Linked DNA regions of Neurospora crassa OR74A. The protein of the gene in region 1 binds, or shares a complex with, the protein of each later gene. Links are inferred from orthologs where the notes say so. Each region holds a gene or a part of one and is shown in the gene's direction. Other genes may lie near its edges.

Region 1 (9,342 bases):
CCCCAGAAAAAAAAGTTACACCAGTTGTAAAGTATGGAAGTAGGTACACGCAGTTTAAAAAGGTTAAGTGTGCTAGGTTGCCCGGCGTTCACAGGTTCATATATGTGGCCGCGCGATTTTTTGTTTAGCTTGGAGGTTTTGGCCCATCGCCATATCCACGAATTCATGTCGGGGCGTGATATTCACGTGTTAGAGATAAGAAGGCGAGATGCTGCGATGGTCAACGCTGAGGGTGGTCTCCATTATGCCTTGTGGTGTTTTAGTCTTCCTCCTCCTCTTCTCTTTTTTTAGCTTCTTACAGTTTGCGTTTGCGGACTCCCCTCTGATGGAAAGTTTCTTCATGGAAGGAAGCCGATGTTCTCTCTGTTATCGTCAATAACACGGCCGTATCTGTTATCCAAACGTTAGCATGCCATCCAACCAACCTCACAGATAAAAGGGGGGACAGAAAGCACTTACTCCAGAAGTAACCTAAAGAACCACGCCTCCATATCCTCATGTCTCAACACCTTATTCGCCCACTCCCTCCCCTGAATCGCCACGCGCTCGGCCTCCTTCGTCCCCTGACTAACTGTCGCGCTCTCCTCGCTGAAGAACCGGACCGTCTCCAACCAGTCCTCTCCCTGCGTGCTCAGCGGGATGAAGTGCGCCCACGGCTTCAGCCACTCATAATGCCACTCCCTGAAAATGGCCCACTTGTACACCAGACTCCTGCTCTTGAGGAACGCATAAAACCGACCGGAAAACGCATTTCCGTCAATGTCCAGCACATGCTTGTACTTGAACGCATCCACCTGCTCGGCGTACGACTTGACCTCGAAGAATTCACGCTGCGCGTCGCAGTCGCCCGGGTCGCACTGGCCGATGTGCGAGAAGAACACGTTGATAATATCGCGGTAGTCGGACCGCGATACCTCGTTGACCACCCAATCCGGGTTCTGCTCGTTCTTGCCCTTGTTCACCAGCACTTTCGCGGTGTCGCGCTCGTTGATCTTCTGCACGAAGCGCTGACGATGCTGGCGCCGCCACCCCCCGTTGCGCGAGAAGCCGCCGGTGGTGGAACCGCGCCAGTACAGCTGGTTGGCCTTGTCGTCCCAGAGCGGGTCCTTGCCTTCTTCGTAGGGGACCTTTTCGTACCAGTACCAGGGGGAAGGGTACAAAATGTCGGCGTACGAGGAAATCTTGCTCTGCGAGAAGATGGGGAAGAGATCGTGCACGACGTTGTAAGCGTTGGGGCGGTCGAAGAAGCCGAAGGTGGTGGAGAGCGAGGGCGAGAGACAGACGTCCGACATGGCAGTCCAGTTGTATACGAAGCCGAGCTCGCCCAGGCCGAACTGGCCGACGTCGTCGAGCCGCTGGGGCTTGTCGGCGCCTTCTTCGTCGATGAGGCGAGCAGGACTGTCGGCCGGGCAGCTCATGCGCGAGTGCGTCCATGTGGGCTGGTGGGCGAATACGTTGAACCGGGTGAACTTTTCCTCGGAGAAGCTGCCGGTAGGACTGAGTCCGCCGTCGGGATCGCGGGTGAAGTCGTTTCGGTAGGCAGACCCCTTGTTCGCCGCGGGCATGTTGACGTTCTTCGCCCGCCCAACCAGCCGCGCCATGTCCTCAGCGGGAACGACGACGCGCGGCTCGTCGTGGATGTTGAAAGCCAGGTCCATATCCGGTAGCCACTGCTTAAACTTCTTCATCATGCCCTTGGTCGCCTCGACCTGCCACTCCTGTCCGCCACGGACGTAGACGATCTCGCCGTCACGGATCTGGAGGCCAATAAGGGCGTTTCCGTCGAATCCCAGGGCTTCCTTAGCGCGCATGCGGATGGTTCTTGGCGAGAGTCCCCAAAAGGGGGTGATGAGTTCGTGGATCATGTCGAATTCGTCGACGAGCTGGACATCATGTTCCTTGGCGAAAGCCCACCACTTGTCAAAGTTGGGGGGTGGGGGCAGTCCGTACCGCCTGCGGTACTCCTTAACGGCTTCCTTGAGGGTACGAGACTGACGGGTCTTGGTAGCTTCGAGATCGCGCTCGGCGTCGATGGTCAAATGCCATATTGGGTGGGAACCTTTCGGGGCTGGTTTGGGAGGTCGGATCGCGGCCGGTTTGGACTTGAAGTCAATGTTGTGGTGCGGGAGATGGTGGGCGCCATTCTGGTAAGAGTCTTTCAACCTCTGTTGCCCTTGGCTGAGGGTCGAGGAGGAGGTGAAGAGCGAGTAGATGCAGAAGAAGATAAAGACGGTTCCCACCAGGATCAAGAGCTGGCGGGACCGCATCGTGTCAGTATTAAGTAGGGTAGGTCGGTCGGTCGGTCGGTCGGTCGGTCGTTACGTGGCGTAGCTTGCTCTTCCCATCGGCTATGCTCGTCCAAATTCTTTACTGCCGATGTTGCTGGTGTAGAGATGGAGGTTCGAACTCCAAATTAGAATACCGAGGGGGAGACTTCTGAAGCTTCGTAGCGCCCTCTTTCAACAAGCGACAAGTCGGTCACAAAAAAATTGGAACTAAAGTGTTTATCGTTGTCTGTGACAGTGGTGTTGAGCTGCCCAATTGCCCGCGGTTGGCATTGCCGCGGACGAACAGTGATATGGCTTGGCTCTGTAGGGTAAACCCAAAGCTCAAGAAATTGGTTGGTTCGGAAAAAAAAAAGAAAAAGAAGAAAACAAGAAAAGAAAAAACCACGAGAAGCGGAAGAGTGGCCTGTCACAGCATCTGGAAAGTGTCCTCTTCCACACGGATTAAACTGCACCTGAAGAATGAAGATCCCCGAAGTGCCTGTGTGCCTGTTTCCTGTCCGTTTCCTAATTTTGGAGTACATAACCGAGGTGACCCAGGTACCCCAAGATGGACATCTAAACGAAGTGGCGTACTTGATGCGGGCGTCAGGGGCCAAGGAGGGGCGGGCGGTGGGTTAGCCTTAACTACGGGTACCTGACCAGACTCGGGCGGTGTCTAGAATCAGCAGGGATCTGCATCTCCAGGCCAGCGCAAGCTCCACGGCTTCAGGGGCAGTGTTACGCGTCGCCTTGATGCCCGGTGCTGGTTGAACATGAAGCAATTCCCATGTCAACGTGGTGCGGCTGCCAAACACACTGACGGCAATCCACTCTTCTCAGCTTCGTGGTTTCTCCTGTCCGAAACTTCATCCAGCTGCTTAACATACACTCAGTTTTACCACGTCGCTTTCATCTACACGTCAGGTTCATTTCATCACATCACTCGATTTTGACATCAGGTTGAACGGAGATTGGTGGAGGAACCAGCTCTTCAATTTTTGAGGTGGGTTATATGCTGCAACATTACTTGCAGAGACCAGACAGAGGTATCATCCTCCCATCGACTTCCCCAACACCCAAAGCGTGGCTTGCTAGAGATCCTCCTCATTCCCGACTTTAAGCGAGAAACATCCGCTTAGTAGAAGAAGCCGATGATCTTGCCGGAGACGTGCTTGCGACGGGCCTCCTCGTGGTCCATGATACCAGCAGAGGTGGTGAGGATGACGTAGCCGAACTGACGGGCGGGAAGGAGCTTGACAACCCACTTCTCGAGCTCAGCGAGGCGGACGTTGTAGCGGGGAGAGATGACACCGCACTTGTTCATGCGGCCGTTGAGCTGGACAACGATCTTGCCGGAGCGGTGGTCATCGACCTCCTCGAACTCGCCGATGTAGCCTGAAGGACAAAAATGTCAGTGAAATGTCGCGACAGTTTAAACATTAGATATCATTGGTGACTCCAGTAACGTGTAAGACTCTCGCATTTGATATATCGGCGACTTAAAAGACTAAGATCGTGGAGCGTAGTGAGACCTCGGCCTAGTTATACGCCGAATGGTGTGGTGAATATGGAAGTGACGGGGGGGATGTTCGATTGCGAGTCTGTCCACGGTTCCCTTCGTCGTTTGCCAATGATATCTGACAGTCGGGTTTGCGATTCGAACATACCGTGCTTCTGCATGACCTGGAGGAACTTGATGATGACCTTGGAAGAAGGGCGGATCAAGACCTGGCGCTTGCCGGCCTTCTCGGCGTTGTTGATGCTGTTGAGGGCATCGTGGAGAACGGAAGTGCGGACCATCTTGACGGTTTGTTTGAGGAGATTCTCAAATCGGGAATGGGATCAGAGGTATCTGCCAGATCCATGCATGTTAGCCTTCGAGGCCCCGTGAGCATGGAGAGTGCCCTCTGGAACAACGCAGTAAAGGTGTCCCAAGGGTTCTGCCCGCTCAGTTGCCGACGAGGAGAAGCGTATCAGTGGTCGTCGACTTTCACCATCGCGAGCTGATTGCTTTCCTGGGCCTTTGCGAAGGGCATTATCCTGTTGTCGAGGACATTCTCCGGCGTCGTAGTAGTTTCACATACCTCGGTGATGGGCTTGATGCTGAGAGGACGGACAAGCTAGCAGGTGAGAGGGGAAGAAGCCGTCAAGGTCGCGATGGTCTTTTGTTGGAAAATTTCGAGCGGGCGGGTGGATTCTGTGGTGGTGGTCTGTGCTTTGTCATGCAAAAAGTGCCCCGTGCGAATGCCCTAACGCCGAGTAGCTGGGCTACTCTTGGCGCTCGTCGGCCCGGCAGAGGTGCCCTTCAGGCGCATCACACAAAATTTCGGAATTTTGGAGCGACGGTTTCGCGCTGGCGGTCGGCGTGGTGTGGGGAGGTGGTCGGTGCGCGCACATAATTTCTGTCCAGAGCTTTTTGCTCTTCGCGGAAAGACGAGACTCGCAGGCCCCTCTCGCTTCCCCCGATCACCACCCATTGAAATACTTTCTCCATTAACTCTTCGAGGATCGTATCCGACAACAACCCCAAGCAAATCGCCAAGATGGTGAGACACCCGTCCCGTCCCCTACGTGCGAGCTGAAGTGTCGCCGTCGCGACCGTCGATTCGATATCCTAGAACCGATTACATCTCGAAAGAAGAAGCATGACGAACTAGGCATACTCGACATCGACGGCGCCGAACGCCCCGACATCTTCAGTGCGACACGACCCGATTACAATGAGGAAGCAAAAGAACACTCCCGCTAACATGGTCTTTTTGTGGAATTGTAGTCGGACGTAGAAGAGAACACTGTCCCCGCCTCCGAGGAGGTTGAGGTTTCCGCCGATGCTGCCCCCAAGGGCCAGATGAGCGTCCTTGATGCCCTCAAGGGTGTTCTCAAGATCTCCCTCATGCACGACGGTCTTGCCCGCGGTCTCCGTGAGGCCTCCAAGGCCCTCGACCGCCGTGAGGCTCACATGTGCGTCCTCAACGAGTCCTGCGAGGAGGAGGCCTACAAGAAGCTCGTCATTGCTCTTTGCTCCGAGCACAAGATCCCCCTCATCAAGGTTCCCGATGGCAAGCAGCTCGGCGAGTGGGCTGGTCTCTGTGAGTACACCTGTTAATCGAACAACATATCTTGGGGCGATCTCGCTGACTGTGCTACTAGGCGTCCTTGACCGTGAGGGTAACGCCCGCAAGGTCGTCAACTGCTCTTGCGTCGTTGTCAAGAACTGGGGTGAGATGTCCTCCGAGCGTGAGGTAAGAATTATACCCGAGTCTGCTGTTTAGCCACAGTGTACTGACAAACGACACTACAGATCCTCCTCAACTACTTCCAGACCGAGCAGTAAATTGGCGATTCGCATCTTGGCGAGGCGGAACACCTAGGGATGGACAGGCTGTAGACGCGTCCCAGACATTGGCTCTAACAAGCCCTGTGTCTGGTTGGACGTACGCTTGGGTAGACCTTACCGACTGGCACAAATGCTTAGAGCAGGCCTTAACTGGCTTCCCTGCAAGGGGCAATAAACAACGTAAAAGGTCCAAAAACTGCTGGCCAATTCTTGAAGTGACTCTGTATGAATCGCGTTGTCATGCGTGAAATCCTGCAATTTGTATGCCATTGTCAATGGCGTCACAAGCCCATGGGAAGAGCAAGGACTTGTTCTCCAAATGGGGAATGGAAAAGGGGACTAACACCCAAAGGTTGTAGTATGCATTCTTATATCATTTTTTACCCTCTACCATGATGATGTGGTAGCCAAATTGTGTCTTGACCTCACCAATCTTGGGGCTACTGGTGCTGCTGGTCTCCAAAGCAAACGCAACCTTTTCAAACTCGGGATCCAAGGTGCCCTTTTGCTTCCAACCCAAACTTCCGCCTATAATGTTCCGTGTAAGTGAGTGAGTGACATTGACTGCAAAAAAATGAAAACCCATAACGATCCGCCAGAACGGCCCAAAAAAAAGGACAATGGGATGAACAACTGTGAAACAGCCCGCTACAATGCCACTCAACAAGAAGCAGACAAAGGAATAAAGAGGTATCTCACCAGTCCTCGCCTTATCCTCACTATATTCCCTAGCAACCGCACCAAAATCAGCTCCATCGCGGATCTTGGCCAGCGCTTCTTCCTTCTTGCCATGTTTCTCACACTACAGTATACAGTCATCATCAGTAACCGCCCGCATGATACACCACTTCGACAAGAAGCGAAAGTAGACAGGAGCCAACTGAAGGGCGACCTAGATACTGGGAAAAGCACTTACCAGAATATGCCGAACGTTAATCGACTGAGCACCCTTGCTGGCCTTGCCGGCGTCCTTGCCCGCATCTTTGTTGCCTGCGTCCTTGCCGCCTTTGCTGCCGGAGCCGGAACCGGAGGCTTTCTTGTCCTTGCCCATTCTTAATTTTGGATATCGCGTCGGTGATGAGAAGCTGCGAAGAATAAAGAGCGGGTGAGGGACTGATGAGTTGAGAGAATAGGCGGCTTGATGTTTCAGGTGGTGATGATAAGTTTGCAGACTCCAGCTTCCGTGGTGAGATGATGAAAATGGAAGTGGGGTTGCGTTGTGAGGATGGAAGTAGCAGCTTGAAGCGACAAGCTGACCGTGTTTGGGTCGGGTGGTGGGAGGAATTGGAGAGGAGGAAGGCTCTACAGAACCCTAACCCTGGTTGGAAGGGGGTTGCCCCTTTTCAACGTCACTCCGGCTGTCACGAAGATGGACACTACGGAATTCGAGACGAAGGATCAGCTTGGTCATGGCTGCATTTTCTTTCATGAGTTAATCTTATTTGTGCTTTTTACTTGTTCTCTTGTTGTTTCTGAAATGATCCAGAGAAGAGGCAGGAACCTGGGACCTGGAACCTCGGCAGAGAGGGAGGAGGGGGAAGGAATAGACTGGAAGGAGTCACAGTCGCGAAGTTCGCACTCGGGAGGTCAAAGATCTTAAATAGATTGTCAACAGTCACGATTCCAGAGAGATGTGGAAAATAGTCTGCCGTAGCTCCCCCGTCTGTTCTCCTGGTTGCCATCAGCGACCCGAATGATAGGTGATCATGTGTCGCAACTGAACGTCGACAGCGATTTTATGCTCTTCCCAAGCTTACTGCAACCATATTTACGCAAGAACTTTCTTATTTGACTGCAGAAGTCATATTGTAGAGCTTGCTTATCGAGGACTAACAGGCGACGTCCGGAAGGCATGAAAAATACTACTCGGCAGGCGTAGTCGCTGAGATCCCGCTCCCGCCCATATACGCAGCATATGTTGTTTGAAAAAAGGAAGTGGTGATCTGAAAACCCAAGGGCGTATTTCTCCTTCCAGATGTGAAGTGACAGAATGAAGCCATGACGGTGAAGCGACTTCCACGTTTCTTTGCAGCGTGGAGTTCAATGATACACGCAACATCGTACCTGTTGTGCTTTCTCTTCTCGAGTTCGGGAATGGAGTACCCAACGAGCGTCCCGCATCTAGTATTTATTCTTCGCTGCCGCCATGTTCCGCATTCTCTTGTTTCTCTTCTTCGTCTTTCACAGCTTTCCATACTTACTTCATCCACTCCGTGCACCTCACAACTACTCTCACCTCACAACTTACTTTGCTTCATTGTTACTTCTCTCGGTCTTGTACTCCCTTGCTTGAGTAATCTTACACACATCTACCTCCTTTACCCAGACACCAACTTCCACGTCACAATGGGCTCAGACAGGCGCAAGCAATGGGCGAAGAAACGCGAGACGAGCGAGGCCAAGGTGCTGGCAGAGAGAGAAGCTAGCGCCGCAGCGCGCGAATCAGAACCTCCCATCCCAACGCCAGATCCATCCGCAGATGACGAAAGCACAACAACGACGGAAAACACAACAACATCCAAGGTGGACGAACTCATGCAAACGTACCACAACAGCAAGATGGGCGAGCAAAAAGACAATGCTCTCGCCTACATATTGTATGCTGCCGGGGACGAAATGTGTGCATACTCTTCCACGACCGACTGGAGACTACAACGTGTCATTCGAGCCGTCACCGCTGTACTCGAAGACGTCAATACATTCACCACTACCGAGGAGAACGAAAGCCACCATCTGCAGCGGCGGTTCCAGTCCAGATCCGAAGGAAGCGCGCTGCCTCCCCATGTCCATATCCACTCCGAGGTTGTCGGGGAAGCTTCGAATAGTCCAGTCCTCCGTTGTCTGAACCAATACCCAAAACTGGACAGCGAATCCTACGCGTGGCAACCGTGGTATCAGGGGCTCTACGGGGCGTATCATGAAGATTGTGCGGCGGGCCTTGATCCTACCAATCACACCCATGCTTTGGCGGCGTGGAATGCAATCTTGGACAAGCTGCCGCCACATGTGTTGGTGACGCTCATGAGCGAGAAACCCTTGGACCCGGAGCGGCCGGATCCGAGTTTACTGTTGACTGCTTTGGACGAGTATTCCGTTCCGGGAATGTAATTGAAGCTCAGGCGTCATGCTTGAGTTTTCATTTCGTCAGCTTCTGAGTGGTGATGCAGGGACAGGTTGGAACGGCATTGTTGATTTCACTGCGAGGAAGGTTGTTGGGCTTTTGGTTTGGAGAGGATTTTGTTTCTGGCTTTCTGGTTTGCCGAATTTGTGGTTGAGGTCGAGAGTATCTCTGAAACAGGCCATCTGGTATTGGGAGCATTAACGACGATGGTGGATTTGACATTCAACTTGAAGATACCCGTCGCCAAAATCAAACGGTGATTCAATGATCTAAGGAGTATGGATGAGAAACAGCAACAACCAGCGAAACAGCGATTATTGAGATTAGTCAATAGTTTCACAGCATCATAGAAACCATCTCCCAAGTAACAAGATTGCCCCGGGAGATTCAACGTGTCTTCCGATTAAACCAACTTCCTTTTACCTTATCTCGTTTGTGAGTTGTGGGGGACGAGACAAGTGAAGAAATGCGATCACTTGTAGTGAGCAGCAATGAAACCAAACGCGCAGTATAGGTTTTTTTTTTTTTTTTTTTTTTTTTTTTTTTTTTTTGGAGGTTTGGAAGTGCCCTGAAGATGAAAGTGTAAGATTCCTACCACAGCCGAGGATACAAGCAGA
Region 2 (9,827 bases), on another chromosome or scaffold:
TAGCGGTTGCGTGTGTTTCATGGCGTAAAAAGAAAGCGTAGACTACCACGACACCCGCGCAACGGTCACGGCACGTCCGCCGTCCGGACGTAAGGTTCAGTGGCATGATGTCTTGGATGGATGCATGAGGGATCAGAGTCGTCATCAGTGCCAGACTGGACGAAAAAAGGAGGATGGCCTCTTGGGGCACTGATCGAGTCGCGACTTGGGGGTGACGGGAAAAGGCAGCAGATACCATATAGCATGGGGGAAAGTAGATTTAGAGTGCATTCAATAATGAAGGCGAGCATCACGTTTCGAAAGTCCAGGCTGCATATCATCCTGGTGTGAGGTTCTCTTATCGATGCCATGGCTAAAATTACAACCAACACTATTTCAGTCACCATCTCAGAACCCTCTCAGAAACTTACACCAGTGAACAGGTGATATTTCCCGACCATGAACACCATGTGAACTTTTCAGACAATGTTGCTGTACCCTAATCAAAACACTTAAAACTCCGATCGCGATGTTGATCTGCCCTGAGCAACCATCATCACTGACAACAAAACCAGGGCACACAAAACACCTCGCCTCCCGCATTCATATGATTCCAGCCAGTAATTCGATCCGTCCGGGTCATTAAGAGCGTAAACCAGTTTCAAATCCCCTCCCTCCTGTTCATAACCATAACCTGCCTGCCTGCCTGCCTGCCTGTCTGTTCCTTCGAGCTCCTGTTTTTCAGAGCCATATAAGTATGTTTGATGTATGTATAGTACAGTGAAATACCGCTTGGAAAGGTATGGTAACCCCCTCACGGTAAAGTAAAGTAGAGAAGAGAGAGAGAAAAAAGGATAGTACAACACAACCCCATATCGTCACAAAACAAGACTTTTCCTCTACCCGCCTGATAAAATACAGGCAAAAGTCTATAATCGTCAGTGTCATATCCAATGACGGCTCACATCAAGTCTCCCGCCACGCCAGCCAGCAACGCATGTACCACGAGACTGACCGTCCACAGTCCCACGCGCTTGAATCTCCTCACCCTACTTTGCTGATCCTCTACGTTTCTGGCAAAAGCACGGTACACCTCGGCGCTCATATCGTCCATCAGCCCACAGTCCCAAACGGTCCAAGCTCCGTCAAAGTCCGTCAGCCGCTTTACGATCCGGCAACTGATGGGGATGTAGGTGCGCTTGGCGTTGATGTAGGCGACGATGGGCCGTACTAGGGCTTGGTTCACGTAGCTCATGTGTGGGTTGTTGAACAGAGGGACAGCGGCGCGGACGTCGTTGAGGTGGATGCGAAGGTCCATGACTAGATAGGAGGGAGTTTCTTCAATCGGGGCTGGCTCTTTGGGAGTCGCGGGAGGGATCAAGGGGGGGAAGTGCTGCTCCGAGGTGGGGAGCTCGTCGTGGTGGCCGGTGAGGTCGATGTCAGAGGCAGATTCCGGAATTGGCCCGCTTTCGAGGGTGGGGCTGTTGGTGTTGCTTCGGCTGTTGGGAGAAATGTTGCCGTCTAGAATCTTGAGGTAGCGGTTGCTGGTTACGGCTTCTTCCATTTTGTCGTAAAACTCGGCGACAACCTTGCTTAGACCCTCCTCAGGATCCGCAGGGAACATGATGTCGGCAATCATATCGACGTTGCCTTCGTAAATCCAGCCAAACGGTCCTTCTACACCGCGGTTCAAGTGGTCAATCTTCAGCCCATCAATCCGTAGTCGGGAGAACTTCTTCCAGGCCGAGGGAGAACCGAACTCGTCTTGGTGGTGACGGCCGTTATCTGCTGCGGACACACCGTGGATCTGTCTGGGATGAATGGTGAATAGTGATCCATCGAATGATCCGGACATGTGATTTGCTGACAAAAAGTCATAAAACAGCCATTGTTTTCGTAGCTGAGGCAGCTCGCAGGAGAAGATGGAAACGGAAAAGGGCCGGAAACCGCCCGGTTGGTGGACGGTGACCAGCAAGTCTTCCATCTTGAAGTGATCCAGTTCAAAGTCGCCAGGGTTATGTTCCTGTCTGAAGTCAAGGGGGTTGAGGTCCTCGTTGCCCCAGACAACCGAAGTCCTGTCAACAACGCCTCGAACACCCTTTATTTCGACGTCTTTGAGGAGACCCTTTCCGTTCCACCATTTGAGGAAAGATAAAGCCACGTTCACGGTGTCTATAGTGACGTCAAACTGTGTGTAATTGCCATCGTCCTCTTCCACGGCAGTGCCTTCTTGCTCGGCGGCTTGTTTAGCAGCAGCAGCTTCGGCCGCAGCTTCGGAAGAACCCTTCTTGACGGAAGACTTGGGCTGACCAGGTCTCCGAGAAACGAAAACATTGCGGAAAGTGATGACACCATCTCCCCATTTGGGCACAATAGCCGACTCGAAGACAACAGTAAGGCCAGCAGATTGGGTCAGGTAGTCTCCGATCCACTTGGCCAGCGTTTCCTGGGCAAACACCGTGTTGATAAAGAGGATGATGAGGGAGAAGAAGGTAGTTGTGCCAACAAGAATCCAGACCAAATGACCGAATAAGAAGAAGGACACAAACGCTCCCCATTCGTCGGCGTTCCAGGGGCGCATGCTCCTGATGGAGAACCACTTGAATCGGACCTTGAGACGCGACCAGAACCCGCTTGCTGCCGCCAGAAGCTCTTCTTTTGTGGGCCGATGAGGCAAATGGGGGAGGTGAGGAAGGTGAAGGTATTTAGACATGGAATCTGCTATTGATTCATGTGCGGGAGTCGGCTGGGAACCAGAACCGGAAGCCGTCTCGGTATTCGGTGGCTGCTGTGGTTGCTCGGACTTTTGCTGAGGAGAAATTGTAGAAGACTTGGCTTCGGCCTTGGTCTCGTCATGATCACCCTTGGTCTCTTTGCCCGAACTTTGGAATCGCTTTCCTGTCTTGCATAACGTTGTGGTCGTGGTGTTCTGTCGTATCCTTCGCAAGAGTAAAGCCTGCCGAGCCAAGTGGCCCATTTTTGCCTTTTGCGCGGCATTGCCGGATAGTGCGGATGCCTCTACCGTGCTCGTTGGAGAGGGGCTGGTGGTGAGCCCAAGGAGGAGTAGGCCTCCGGAGGTACAGCTTCGTAGGACATTATGGGATGGTTGTGACTGTTGATAGTGTAGTCTTTGCGATTTTGTTGCTGGGAAGAAAAAGCGACTTGCGGAAGAGGTAAATTGTCGCGTGCTCTGCTGCTGTCCGTATCGCTGATGGGACCCCAGCGATGTCGAGGGGCCAAGTCCAAGACTTTGACGACTCAGTAATGGCTGACAAGTTGGAAGCAGTATCGCGGCTGTGAAGAGATTCGAGGTGGTGTGAAGATCTCGTACTGAAGACCATAGCTGGCGGCCCAGCTGGGTCGTCGTAGCGCTAGTAGACATTGTTGAAATTCATACTGTCGACCGAGTAAGGGACCGACCTGTTCCTTTTTTTTTTCCTATGTTTTCAGCGACGATGGTGATGACGACAGCTCGGTGCCGTATCCATGGTCGGTCCTCGAGGCTGAAAATCAGATGTTGTTGCTTGGTGGTGGGCCGAGTCTAGAATGACATATGATGGTGCTCCTGCTCTGACCAAGAACCTGGAGTTTGAAAAAGCTGCCGGTCCAGGTCCCCGTCAAAAGTGCGTCAATGACGCTAACCTTGGGATTACAGGGATTCCTCGGTAACTGTTAGTGCATGGGCGTTGCGATTGGCAAGGGTCCTAGCCCCCATGCAGCCAATCGATAAGCTTCACTTGGGTACTCTTTTGTGGATCCACTGCTTTTTGTCAAGAATTTCCCCTCTGCGCTATCAAAATCGATAAACATCAAAATTCTAGAGACCGACGGCGCAAAAAGGCAGAACTTCGACTCCCAGATCTCCGCAATTCACGACTGTAACCCAGCATCCCGACACTTCTTTCGTCGCCCGTCACCAGTCTCTCCTCCACCCGATTTTCGAAAAATCTGCCATTACTCTTGGCCGGCGATTTCCCAAAATACTACCGACTTTAATCAACAAACAACCCGACTCGGCCCCTTGACCATCACCCACCGATAAACAACACATCTCGCCCAACATGCCTGCGCCAACAGCACTTCGTCAGCCTGTCAAGGCTCCCGCCGCCCAGATTCCTATCCAGACCGAGCAAGAGGACGAGCTCATTCTCGATGTCAACGAGGCCGTCAACCTCACCGATCCCAGCGCCGCCGCTCCCCCTTCCAATGACCAAGATGTGCAGATGGCTGTAGACGAGGAGGGCCGCCCCCGTTTCGCCCCCGGCCAGGACGTCCAGATCATTCGCCGCGCAGAGACCAGGAAAATTGGTATCCCGCCAAACCGCATGTCGGCCCTCAAGGCCAATTGGACCAAGATGTGAGACGGAAAACTACGGAAACATGTGTGAATGTTTGGGCAAGGAAGACTGACTGTTTTCCAATCAGCTACCCCCCACTTGTAGAGCACTGCAAGCTCCAGGTCCGCATGAACATCAAGGAGAAGCGCGTCGAGCTCCGCTCCAGCAGACACACCACCACCCCCGAATCCCTGCAGATGGGTGCCGATTTCGTCTCCGCCTTCGCCATGGGCTTCGACATTGACGACGCCATTGCCCTGCTCCGTCTCGATTCGCTCTATATCCAGTCCTTCGATGTCAAGGATGTCCGTCAGACCCTTGGCCCCGATGCTCTGGGACGTGCGATTGGTCGTATTGCAGGCAAGGACGGAAAGACCAAGTTTGCGATTGAGAATGGTACGTTCACCATTATGGGAGAATGGAAGAGATGACGCAGAAGTACTGACAAGATGTGAAAAGCCACAAAAACCAGAATCGTCCTCGCCGGCTCCCGCGTTCATATCCTCGGTGCCTTCGAGAACATTGGCATGGCCCGCGAGTCCGTCGTCTCCCTCATTCTCGGACACCAGCCCGGCAAGGTGTACAACAACCTCCGGATCATTGCCTCGAGGCAAAAGGAGAGATTCTAAGCTCTTTCTTTCACGAAAAACGGCAACAATGTGTTACACTTCTATTGCCGCTATTCTCACCTAATGAATGGTTCACGCACGGGGCTGCATGGTTCAGTCAACAAAAAATCGACGGTTTTCATCACATAAGGGGCGAAGGTGGCATTTCGGGAGCTACGCTTAAAAAGGGTTCTGGCGTTTAGGAGTTCATTATGCTTTTGCTTTGAGTTTGGAGAGTTTGAAATGGGCGATTCAGTCAGTCATGCTGGGGATATCTACGAAGGTGTGTAGAAGCGGGAGGAAGAGGACGGGATATTGGGGAGCTACCGCCTTGCGAATCTTTCAATGTGTGGTTATGATCTATACCCGGAGGACGAGAAGAGAAGACAATGAACAGAGATATTCACCAAAAGGCGGTTTAGTGCATATTGGCTGGCAAGGTCGATTATTGTGCAGAGAAAGTGATGTGGGAAACTGATCCAGTGCGCTCATTTGGTTGAGGTTCAATTCCATGGTGACGGCAAATCAAGCAAAATGTAAGGAGCTGATGTGATGGGCACCAATGTAGCCAGGTGAGCCACGATAGATTGGTTTCTTCAGGTCATACAAGTAGTAGTTATTTCCATCCATTCTCTTATCTCGCTTGTTCCGCATAAGTAAAGGTCTTGTTTGTTTTACAGTCCAGATGGCGAACCGTATATCGAAATAGCAGATAGAGCATAGTCAAACCCCTCGATATTCACCTACGATAGGTGGGATGAGACCATCTTAACCCGAGGAGGCTCTTTTTGTGCTCTGACTGACCAACTCCCATGACTCATCAAGCTTGTTGAAATAAAGTGAAGGCAAGACGTAGCAAAAAGTGATATACGTATGGGTATCTTCTGAAGAGCTAGGGTACCACCTCCGCACCATGAACCGTGTCCTGGAAGGACTTGCAACACTCCAAACTCCGTAATCATCTGTCACAACTTTAAGCAAAAACAATAATCCACTAGTCACCGCCGATTTCGTAGGCCTGACGAATAAGCCCGGTAAACTCCAACCCCATAACAGCTAAAGAAATGTGCGAATAACGTCTCCCAAAACCCAGTCTCCATGTTTATTCTCCAGGTCATACACTACTTGATGTAGACCTCAAACTGATTGGTCTCGTCCCTCTCAATGTCCATCGCCCCAACCAGCATGTTCTCGTTCAGCTCCTCGCCGTCAAACTGTATCACGACAGTCTGCTCCGGCTTGATATCTCTCTGCTTCCGGAAAACCTGCACCATGGTACTGACCGGCGTATCCTCATAAACCGCGATCTTGAGCGGTTGGAGGTCTTTGGCCTTGAGTACCACTTTGATCTTGGTCTTCTTGACCTCAGCAGCCTCACTGCCACCTCTGGACCATCCATTGGCACCAGACACACCAGTTCCGCTTTGCTGGTCTTCGTCATCGTCATCGTCAATCAGCCCCAACTCCCTCTCCCTCCGCCTCTTCTCCTTCGTAAGCTCTTCCTCATAAAACTCCTCGTGCCAAACCTCCAACACCAGTCCAATTTTTCCCCCCTGGATGACATACCCCTCCATGGCCTCTCGGCTCGTCATGGCACCAGGAGGCAGCTGCAACACGCCATTGGCGTCCACCTTGACTCCCAACGAAGCAATGGTGCTGTTGCCGTAAATTCGGTTCCCTTTAAACGTCAAGAACAGCTTGCCCACCATGTCCTCGGGGATTTCGCAACCGTGGAGCACCTGCTGTCGGATCCACGTGTCTAAAATCAGCTTGAGACCTTGCTTCATCCGTCGCCGCGCAGTAAGCGGCTTGGTGTGTGGCATTCGCGAAGTGACTAGCACGTCAATTGTCCAGTTGGCCTGGTCGGCTTCTAGCGCCGCGGCTTTGGTGACCCATTTCGCAAAATCATCGTCGTCGTCGGCCTTATCGGCGACGATAGTGGCTTCATGATCTGGGTCGGTTGCGGATGGTGCTGGTGGTGGAGAAGATGAGAAAGAAGCGGAGCGCTTCTTGGGGCGGACTTCGGAGACTTCGAGGTCCGAGTCGTTGTCGGAGTCGAGGGCAGCGGGTTGAAAAGGTTTCCTCTTGGAGGTGGAGGATGCGCCGGGGAGGTTGAAGGAGGTCTCAACACCTTCCAGCGGCGACCTGCCGCGCTGAGTGGCCCGGGTGCTGCGGCCGAGTGCGGTAGGTTTTGGAGAGAAGCGGTCGGGGTTGCGGCGCTTTGAATGTGGGGAGTACAGGTCGTCCTTCCCATGATCGTCTTCGTCGTCGCTAAAGGCGAAGCGTTTCTTGGATGGCGTCCCCGACTTTCTTGGTGTGGTTGAAAGAGGCTTTCGGGGAGTCGGTACCCGGGCTTTGTCGGGCCGTACGATCTCTTTCCCTTTACCCTTGACGTCCATGATCAGGTCGTCATCGTCGGAGTCAACGCGCGATGCAGACGTCCTACTCAGTGCTGATACGCTCGAAGAGCTGGCGCCGAGAGGTGCTTCATTGTCACCTTCGACATTGGACGACACCCTCCTTTTCTTGTTGACATGCCCTTCCTTTGGCGACTCGGAAGGCTTCACCTTTTCCTCTGATGATGCCCGCTGCAGGTCCTCCAGGACCATGGGGAAAACATCCTTTGATCGCCGAAAGAGGGCGAGAGGGTCATCTTGGTCAGAATTGTGCTCTGGCGCATGGCTTGGGGGTGGCTCGTTGGCTGGTGTGCGTGCAACGGTGCGCTTGAAGGGCAGCGCTCTCCTTTTCTTTGGTACGTCAGTTGCCGTGTCCATGGTGGGCAAGTGGTGATGTGCTACGTTTGAGAGATTGGTGTGTGCAAAGAAATGTGAGAGTGAGGTGGTGCGCAGTTATGAATCGCAAACCTAGTGTAATATGTAGATGCGGTTCGGGTGCGCAGAGAAAACGGGAAAGTGGGATGACCAACAGGGTGGTGGTGATGGATTGATTGTTGTTCAAGGGAGAAGCGAGAGATCGGTTGTTGCTTGTTTTCAAAGCTTGTTTATAGTCGCGTCGAAAATTCGGACGTGCAGGTCCGTACAATTGTCCATGTATAGACGAAGGGCGGCTGTTAGGTTGAAGATATCGTGAATCAAAGAAGACGAGGCTGGACAAAAAAAGAAGGCGTTGGTGCAACCCCGGCGCAAAATGCGATCCGCTAACGGCAGACCATCCGAACTTTCGCTGGGCGGCGCACAGTGTGGTCACTAAACAGACAGTGCTGCGGGGCGTGTGGGGGACTGCAAGGCTGGGCCAGTCCCGTCTGGAGAAACCTAGGGAAAAAAAAGGTGGGTCTTAGCCGAGGTAAACCGCGTACTGTGAAGGGAGGTACCGCCGGCAACTGAAGCTGCCCTGAACGAGTCCTGAGCGAGCGCCGACGCTTCAGTTGATCAGGAAGTGACAGCGCCGGTAGGTAACTGACACTGAGGAGCCGAGTGACCACCAGGGCACAACGAGTCCACCACCACCCGCGGACGGGGCAAAGATGGAGATCCCTTCTCGAACACCCGTCTGGCCCCATGCACTAGACTTAGTTCGCAACTCGCCAAAAGGAACAAATGAAACGGTGTACGTGGTGTTGAAGGTCCTCCTTGGAGTCTCATCTCGATAATCTGGTTGTCTTCTATACCCCATCTGTTTCTGTCTTCTACCTCTACCCATCTCGGTTGCTTGCCTATCTACCTCTCTACCTTACTTGACTACTTCCATCAGCAACATCAACAGCCATTATTTGTTAGTGATAATATTTTCCATCGGCGGTCAATATCACCCACCTCCAACATGAGTGTCCCAAAGTCAGAATATCTCAGCTCCGTATGGGCACCCGGCATCTTTGGTAAGTCTCGGAGGTACTATTTGTGCAGAGATCACAGTGTCGCTAACAATCATCACCACAGCCAACCGGGTTGTCTTCGTCACCGGTGGTGCCGGCACCATCTGCAGTGCGCAAACTCGCGCTATGGTCCATCTGGGAGCGGACGCATGCATCATTGGTCGCAACCCAGAGAAGACTGAGAAAGCTGCCAAAGACATCGCCAAGGTCCGCTCCGGAGCTCGTGTCATTGGCATTGGCAATGTCGATGTCAGGAATGTGAGTGTTGTTGCTTGGATGAATCACACTTGAAATAGTCTCGCTGACTGAGTTCACAGTTCGACAACCTCAAGGCGGCCGCTGAGCGGTGCGTCAAGGAGCTGGGAGCCATCGACTTTGTCATCGCTGGTGCCGCTGGAAACTTCATTGCTCCTATTTCCGGGTTGAGCCCTAACGCCTTCAAGACTGTGATCGACATCGACACCATTGGTACTTTCAACACCGTCAAGGCCACTATTCCTTACCTCATCGAGTCGGCTGCCAGGAACCCGAACCCCAACCCAAATGGCCTCACTGGCGGTCGCATCATCTCGGTTTCCGCTACCTTCCACTACTCAGGCATGCCCCTGCAGGCCCATGTGTCCGCTGCCAAGGCCGCCGTGGATTCCCTCATGGCCAGCGTCTCTCTTGAATACGGCCCCTACGGTGTCACTGCCAACGTGATTGCTCCCGGTGCCATTGAAGGTACCGAGGGTATGGAGCGCCTGGCCAGCAGCGCTGTCGACAAGAAGAAGATGACCAAGGCTGTTCCCAGCGGCAGATGGGGAAGCCGCCGTGATATCGCTGACGCCACTGTTTACCTATTCAGTGATGCCGGTAACTATGTCAATGGTACCACTCTCGTCGTTGATGGCGCTGGCTGGAGGCGACAGGGAGGAAACGACATTGGCATTGACGAAGGCATGGAGTATCCCGACTTCCTGTTTACTGGCCAGATCAGCAAAAACCTGAAAGACGGGAGAAAGCAAAAGTCCAAGCTTTAAGCATGGGAGTTCGAAAATGTCCTCAGTTTGTCACACTGGAGCGTTTGTG

Evidence for each region.
Region 2: NCU06432 (region 1) and NCU07956 share a complex: the UniProt entries of both Saccharomyces cerevisiae proteins name them as parts of the small ribosomal subunit. The link is inferred for Neurospora crassa OR74A from reciprocal best matches to the Saccharomyces cerevisiae genes RPS12 and PNO1.

What each region holds. Positions count from the first base shown.
Region 1 is NC_026503.1:1,394,280-1,403,621, forward strand, and holds NCU06432 (40S ribosomal protein S12), read left to right. Parts: upstream 1-4,587; 5' UTR 4,588-4,810; coding exon 4,811-4,813; intron 4,814-5,040; coding exon 5,041-5,356; intron 5,357-5,417; coding exon 5,418-5,509; intron 5,510-5,568; coding exon 5,569-5,601; 3' UTR 5,602-5,977; downstream 5,978-9,342. Other genes in the region: NCU06430 (capsule-associated protein CAP1), read right to left, coding at 339-390, 460-2,267; NCU06431 (40S ribosomal protein S22), read right to left, coding at 3,403-3,662, 3,935-4,067; NCU06433 (peptidyl-prolyl cis-trans isomerase pin-4), read right to left, coding at 5,978-6,132, 6,304-6,406, 6,521-6,655; NCU06434 (hypothetical protein), read left to right, coding at 7,951-8,712. UniProt on the Saccharomyces cerevisiae protein: Component of the ribosome, a large ribonucleoprotein complex responsible for the synthesis of proteins in the cell.
Region 2 is NC_026504.1:1,222,527-1,232,353, reverse strand, and holds NCU07956 (pre-rRNA-processing protein PNO1), read left to right. Parts: upstream 1-3,789; 5' UTR 3,790-4,040; coding exon 4,041-4,336; intron 4,337-4,404; coding exon 4,405-4,712; intron 4,713-4,775; coding exon 4,776-4,945; 3' UTR 4,946-5,549; downstream 5,550-9,827. Other genes in the region: pod-1 (mitochondrion biogenesis protein), read right to left, coding at 941-3,361; NCU07957 (hypothetical protein), read right to left, coding at 6,046-7,698; NCU07958 (sporulation protein SPS19), read left to right, coding at 8,705-8,759, 8,821-9,014, 9,074-9,778. UniProt on the Saccharomyces cerevisiae protein: Required for small ribosomal subunit (SSU) synthesis. Has a role in the processing of early nucleolar and late cytoplasmic pre-RNA species. Recruits DIM1 to nucleolar pre-RNAs.